2 linked regions of the Xenopus tropicalis genome follow. Each later gene encodes a partner of the first gene's protein in a complex. Links are inferred from orthologs where the notes say so. Each region holds a gene or a part of one and is shown in the gene's direction. Other genes may lie near its edges.

Region 1 (3,652 bases):
GAGCTCTGATTCTCTGTACTTCCTGCTCCTGGGCTGCTCTCTTTCCCATGGTCAGGCAGGAACCTCCCCTGGGTAAGTGAATCCAATCTCCCCCCAGTACTTACCCAGGTACAGAGCTCTGATTCTCTGTACTTCCTGCTCCTGGGCTGCTCTCTTTCCCATGGTCAGGCAGGAACCTCCCCTGGGTAAGTGAATCCAATCTCCCCCCAGTACTTACCCAGGTACAGAGCTCTGATTCTCTGTACTTCCTGCTCCTGGGCTGCTCTCTTTCCCATGGTCAGGCAGGAACCTCCCCCTGGGTAAGTGAATCCAATCTCCCCCCAGTACTTACCCAGGTACAGAGCTCTGATTCTCTGTACTTCCTGCTCCTGGGCTGCTCTCTTTCCCATGGTCAGGCAGGAACCCCCCCTGGGTAAGTGAATCCAATCTCCCCCCAGTACTTACCCAGGTACAGAGCTCTGATTCTCTGTACTTCCTGCTCCTGGGCTGCTCTCTTTCCCATGGTCAGACAGGAACCCGCCCCCTGGGTAAGTGAATCCAATCTCCCCCCAGTACTTACCCAGGTACAGAGCTCTGATTCTCTGTACTTCCTGCTCCTGGGCTGCTCTCTTTCCCATGGTCAGGCAGGAACCTCCCCCTGGGTAAGTGAATCCAATCTCCCCCCAGTACTTACCCAGGTACAGAGCTCTGATTCTCTGTACTTCCTGCTCCTGGGCTGCTCTCTTTCCCATGGTCAGGCAGGAACCTCCCCTGGGTAAGTGAATCCAATCTCCCCCCAGTACTTACCCAGGTACAGAGCTCTGATTCTCTGTACTTCCTGCTCCTGGGCTGCTCTCTTTCCCATGGTCAGGCAGGAACCTCCCCCTGGGTAAGTGAATCCAATCTCCCCCCAGTACTTACCCAGGTACAGAGCTCTGATTCTCTGTACTTCCTGCTCCTGGGCTGCTCTCTTTCCCATGGTCAGGCAGGAACCCCCCCCTGGGTAAGTGAATCCAATCTCCCCCCAGTACTTACCCAGGTACAGAGCTCTGATTCTCTGTACTTCCTGCTCCTGGGCTGCTCTCTTTCCCATGGTCAGACAGGAACCTCCCCCTGGGTAAGTGAATCCAATCTCCCCCCAGTACTTACCCAGGTACAGAGCTCTGATTCTCTGTACTTCCTGCTCCTGGGCTGCTCTCTTTCCCATGGTCAGGCAGGAACCTCCCCCTGGGTAAGTGAATCCAATCTCCCCCCAGTACTTACCCAGGTACAGAGCTCTGATTCTCTGTACTTCCTGCTCCTGGGCTGCTCTCTTTCCCATGGTCAGGCAGGAACCTCCCCCTGGGTAAGTGAATCCAATCTCCCCCCAGTACTTACCCAGGTACAGAGCACACTCAGATCTGTATCTGGATCTCTTTCAGGGTGGAGCTGCCTACAAAGCTGCGGGTGGAGCGCTGGGCCTTTAATTTCAGTGAACTGATCCGGGACCCTAAGGGTCGACAGAGCTTTCAGCTTTTCCTCAAGAAGGAATTCAGCGGTAAGTCTAAATGCCCCCGGGGGGGGGGGGGGGTATATTGCTTTATTAGCAGGGCCACCATCCTGCTTAGCCTGGTGCAATCTGGTAGCCCACCAGTCACATGTAGCCTGGGGCATTGGGCCGGGCCAACAAGTAAAATGGGCCTGTAGTGAAAAAAATGGCCGACATGCTAGGCCTGCCCAGGCCCCACCCATTCCACTGCAAGTCCCGCCTTTTGCATTCCTTGGTTTCCCAGGCCCCCCTTGCCACAGGGCAACTGGATTCCCTCCGACAGTGGCCCTGTTTATTAGTGCCCGTAACCTGCCCATTCTGTGCCCTAACGCCAGCCGTGCCCATAACCCGCCCATTCTGTGCCCTAACGCCAGCCGTGCCCGTAACCTGCCCATTCTGTGCCCTAACGCCAGCCGTGCCCGTAACCTGCCCATTCTGTACCCTAACGCCAGCCGTGCCCGTAACCTGCCCATTCTGTACCCTAACGCCAGCCGCTCCCGTAACCCGCCCATTCTGTGCCCTAATGCCAGCCGTGCACGTAACCTGCCCATTCTGTGCCCTAACGCCAGCCGTGCCCGTAACCTGCCCATTCTGTGCCCTAATGCCAGCCGCAACCGTAACCCGCCCATTCTGTGCCCTAATGCCAGCCGTGCCCGTAACCTGCCCATTCTGTGCCCTAACGCCAGCCGCGTCCGTAACCCGCCCATTCTGTGCCCTAACGCCAGCCGCTCCCGTAACCCACCCATTCTGTGCCCTAACGCCAGCTGTACCCGTAACCTGCCCATTCTGTGCCCTAACGCCAGCCGTGCGCGTAACCTGCCCATTCTGTGCCCTAACGCCAGCCGTGCGCGTAACCTGCCCATTCTGTGCCCTAACGCCAGCCGTAACCTGCCCATTCTGTGCCCTAACACCAGCCGTAACCTGCCCATTCTGTGCCCTAACGCCAGCCGTGCCCGTAACCTGCCCATTCTGTGCCCTAACACCAGCCGTGCCCGTAACCTGCCCATTCTGTGCCCTAACGCCAGCCGTGCCCGTAACCTGCCCATTCTGTGCCCTAACGCCAGCCGTGCCCGTAACCTGCCCATTCTGTGCCCTAACGCCAGCCGCGCCCGTAACCTGCCCATTCTGTGCCCTAACGCCAGCCGTGCCCGTAACCTGCCCATTCTGTGCCCTAACGCCATCCGTGCCCGTAACCTGCCCATTCTGTGCCCTAACGCCAGCCGTAACCTGCCCATTCTGTGCCCTAACGCCAGCCGTAACCTGCCCATTCTGTGCCCTAACGCCAGCCGTGCCCGTAACCTGCCCATTCTGTGCCCTAACGCCAGCCGCGCCCGTAACCTGCCCATTCTGTGCCCTAACGCCAGCCGTGCCCGTAACCTGCCCATTCTGTGCCCTAACGCCATCCGTGCCCGTAACCTGCCCATTCTGTGCCCTAACGCCAGCCGTAACCTGCCCATTCTGTGCCCTAACACCAGCCGTAACCTGCCCATTCTGTGCCCTAACGCCAGCCGTAACCTGCCCATTCTGTGCCCTAACGCCAGCCGTGCCCGTAACCTGCCCATTCTGTGCCCTAACACCAGCCGTGCCCGTAACCTGCCCATTCTGTGCCCTAACGCCAGCCGTGCCCGTAACCTGCCCATTCTGTGCCCTAACGCCAGCCGTGCCCGTAACCTGCCCATTCTGTGCCCTAACGCCAGCCGCGCCCGTAACCTGCCCATTCTGTGCCCTAACGCCAGCCGCGCCCGTAACCTGCCCATTCTGTGCCCTAACGCCAGCCGTAACCTGCCCATTCTGTGCCCTAACGCCAGCCGTAACCTGCCCATTCTGTGCCCTAACGCCAGCCGTAACCTGCCCATTCTGTGCCCTAACGCCAGCCGTAACCTGCCCATTCTGTGCCCTAACGCCAGCCGTGCCCGTAACCTGCCCATTCTGTGCCCTAACGCCAGCCGTGCCCATAACCTGCCCATTCTGTGCCCTAGGGGAGAACATGAGTTTCTGGGAGGCCTGTGAAGACCTGAAGTACGGAGACCAGTCGAAGGTGAAGGAGAAGGCGGAGGAGATCTACAAGTAAGCGCCTTCTAGTTTGGTTTAGCTTCCCCTTTCTTCCTTTTCACTTACAGTCTGTCCTTGGCCTGGTTACTGGGG
Region 2 (3,752 bases), on another chromosome or scaffold:
AACTGGAACACTCTGTGATTTTCAGTTTCCTTCTCCTTTAAATCCAAGTTTCATAATTTGATAGTAACACCAACAAAATGCTGTCAGTGACACCAGAAAATGTACACCAATTTCAAATTGTGGAAAGCTGTTCTGACCGATCTGGGTAATTGTTAAACAATACTTCAGATTCTTAAATCTGGCTTGTGGAAAGACAATTTGACACCAAAACATACAAACCCTTATTCATGGAACTAGAGTTAGGCTTTTGGGTGCCTGCCATTGCTTTTACACTTTTATTGCTGTTAAAGTGGACAGGTTTCTATTGCAATGTGCATTCATGTGGATATACTTTTCTTTTTCACAGAGACTAAAGCTTTGCTGTTGTTACAGTAAATCCCTTTTCACAATGCTATATGTAAACAGTAAAGGGCGACTGCAAAGGTTACCGACATACAGCCTGAGATTGCTGGAAGTCATACTAAACTAATATCTCAATAGATGCCGGGTGCAATACCTACTCTGTTTTAAGAAGCATACCACACAGACATGCTGTATACCACTCTACTTGCAAATCAGCTGCCCTTCGGTGCCTGGCCTAACAGTTTAATATATCAGGAGGATTTATGTAAATAGAAATATAGTTTGCTGCGCACAGCGTCTACTCACTTAGAACGATAAGCTCCTTATTTCTTGCCCAGTGCCCGAGAGCAGCTCCTCTCCACCCAGCTTCCTTAAGCATAGACCAGGGCTGCAAAGAAACAACACAGCTTTCAGCCAATGGGCACCCTTCCCTTTCCTACCGACGCTATCTACGGCCAATCGAAGTACAGCTAAGAGGTGGGTGTATTACAACCATAGCGTGCCAATTGCCGAGCTGTGGAAATCGTCACCTGAACTGCAAGACAGAGCGGCCATTTTATGTGCTGGAAAGAAAATATTAATGTAACGCGCTGTCTGTATTTAAGCCGTTGTCGAACTGTGATTTGTAAGCATTCCTGGTTTATTTTAGACTGGCTGTTGTTAAGTTAATTTGCATTAGAACAAGCTGTATAACATTCTTCTCTACCACTTTGATAATATTATCGAACTTGCCCTTATTAATGATGTCAGTGTACACCGGCCAAATACCTCACTGATATAACAAGCCTTTGAGGTTTGCTCACGTGACTCGTGTAGATGATGGGCAGAATGAGCTGCACAGGGAGAGCAGGAGGACGCGTTCGGACAGCTCCCTGCTGGAATTCACAGCGCTGTTGTGGAAGAGCAGTTTACAATATCTTTAAACTGTCGCTACAATAGCAGTTTTTTCAACTTTTATCCAGCATTAATACGCCTGCTAAGGAAATTTTCAACTGCTTGATATGGATTTCACTTACACTATGCACAGGTTGTGCAGATAATTCCTGATTGGTTGACAGCTTGTTATAGCCTCAGGATTGGAGTCCACTGATTATTTTATTTTGCACCCTGGTACCATGGAGGAGCCGGAGTAGGACAAACACAGTTCTCTATTATCGATGATAAATGAAACGAAATGTGGAACTGCAGCTAATTGCTGGTCTGCATATCCTGAACTAGGGTTAAAAAAAGTATCATTATTGGCAGTATTTGGGGTTTTAAGGGGTTTTGGAAGAAAGCAAGCTGGAGATGCTGAAGGAGGAATGCAAGGCACTGCTGGATGCTCTGAACAAGGTAACTGCATGCTACAGGCATCTGGTGCTCACCATAGGTGGCACATCAGACTCACAAAACCTTCGGGAAGAATTGAAGAAGACCAGGCAGAAAGCACAAGAACTAGCTGTGGCCAACAGAAACAAACTTACCAGCACTCTCAAAGACCATAGATTAACCAAAGAAGACAAGGCTGAATTTGAGAGGCTATGGGTTATTTTCACTACCTGCATGGACATTCTGGAAACAGATATGAGGCGAGCTCTGGTGCTAGGTCAGGAATTTCCTCTTAACATCCCCAAGAAACACCTTATTCAGACTGGCATGAGTGGTGGAACCTCTGGTGTGGCTGCCAGGGCTATGAGTGTGCAGAACATGAGATATGATGCTGAGCACAATATAGATGTGATGGACCTCAAGGACCTAGAGGATGAGATCAATCTTATGGATGAAATGATGTATGAAATGGAAATGAAGGTCAATGTACCTCAGTGGACTGTGGAAGCTAAACAGGATCCAGGAGCTGAACTTAAATCCACTATGAGTGCTGGGGCTTCTCCTGGGATTATTTCCCTGGATGATCATAAATCTATATGTGACCTCAACAAAGTTTTAGCTGGGGTGGTTTTCAGTGCAGTTCTTATTATTGCTATAATACTGGCAGTTTGTGTAGTAAAACTCTCTTAATGAGAATATTTATGCTGCTAACTATGTTTAATAATTTTTGGGTTTGGTGCAGATCATAATTCTTCCTTTTTAATTAAACTATCTGCTTCCTAGGCAGAAATCATGCGTCTATTTTGATGGATTTTGGGGTATATTTTTATTTGATTTATGTTTTATGCAAAGGTTTTCTGCAGATCGATTACAAATGTTCTTTTCTTGTATAATATTGGCATAAAAATATGCCTTATTCATTCACTCCACTGGGTTATTTTAAACTTAGCAATTTCTGCCTGCAGCATATTGCACATTGTATTGGTGCAAAATTTGTATATGCTTGTCTCTTTTTATACTGGCAATGCAGTATGATTAGTGCTACCTCACTTTTATGACAAGTTTTCAGTATTAACAAAGAAGCAGAGTTTTGCATTTGGTGGCAAAGATACAAAATGATGCATTCAGCACATAGTACATCAAACATGTGAAAGAATTGAAGCTTGCAGGATTCAGTCATATAATACCCTCTGCCAACACACATTTATTAGTTTTAAACATATCTGTAAAGTACTGATTTTGAACATTTTGATGCCAGAGGTAGTGCAAGGCACTGGTTAGCAGTTTGTTGGTTGCTGCTTCTAACATTCTAAAGGCTGATGAAAAAGAAGAAAAGCACACGCTGTCTGACTTTATTAGTGGCAGTAATGTGATTATCAATATTCCAATTCTATCTACTATGGCACTTTGATTAATACATTGTTTTTGACTGAAGTTCAGTTCAAAAGTCAGATTAACCATTGTAGGTTTTATAGCCTGTCTGCATTCATTCTTCCTTGAAGTCTTCCTATAAGCATGCCCCACTTATTATTCATAATAGTCTTATATGAATAGGCTTAGAGCAGCAGTTGTGCAGACCTTTGTTGCCATGCTGAACAGCTTCAGGGCTACACACTACACACAGGCTTTTTTTGTGTGTTCTAAAGCGCATTTGAGACAGAGATTTGTACACTTACTGATTCTGTTTTATTCTGCCTGATTATGCCTAAGATTCATGTCTGTGTTGTAGAAAACTATTTTTTAAATAATATGCTGCATTTTATGTATTGGAACACTTTCATAATATATTTAAAATAGAGAAATGCTTGCTGAACATAACACATATACGTGGATTTTAGTAGCTTGCATTTCATTTAAACACCATTGTATAAGTGCCCTTAAGCATTTCAGTAAGGGGCCATATCATCAAAGGTTTCTGTTTGCATTGGCGTAATTAATTTCCTGTTCATTTGAGTATTATATATATTAAAAGAATAAAAGCATATCAGGTCTCCAATCTAATCTCTGATTTTCAGCATTGGTATGGACATCTCCCTGTCTGAGGGCCAAGCTGTGCTCTGGTTAAGTAATATATTTATGCCCTATGAGAGGATTGAGTCTGC

The links. The genes of interacting proteins can lie anywhere in the genome.
Region 2: regulator of G-protein signaling 9 (region 1) and rgs9bp share a complex: the UniProt entries of both Homo sapiens proteins name them as parts of the RGS9-1-Gbeta5 complex. The link is inferred for Xenopus tropicalis from reciprocal best matches to the Homo sapiens genes RGS9 and RGS9BP.

What each region holds. Positions count from the first base shown.
Region 1 is NC_030686.2:50,719,594-50,723,245, forward strand, and holds part of regulator of G-protein signaling 9, read left to right. Parts: intron 1-1,400; coding exon 1,401-1,516; intron 1,517-3,486; coding exon 3,487-3,574; intron 3,575-3,652. UniProt on the Homo sapiens protein: Inhibits signal transduction by increasing the GTPase activity of G protein alpha subunits thereby driving them into their inactive GDP-bound form. Binds to GNAT1. Involved in phototransduction; key element in the recovery phase of visual transduction.
Region 2 is NC_030680.2:69,372,530-69,376,281, reverse strand, and holds the start of rgs9bp (regulator of G-protein signaling 9-binding protein), read left to right. Parts: upstream 1-898; 5' UTR 899-1,629; coding exon 1,630-2,340; 3' UTR 2,341-3,752. UniProt on the Homo sapiens protein: Regulator of G protein-coupled receptor (GPCR) signaling in phototransduction. Participates in the recovery phase of visual transduction via its interaction with RGS9-1 isoform.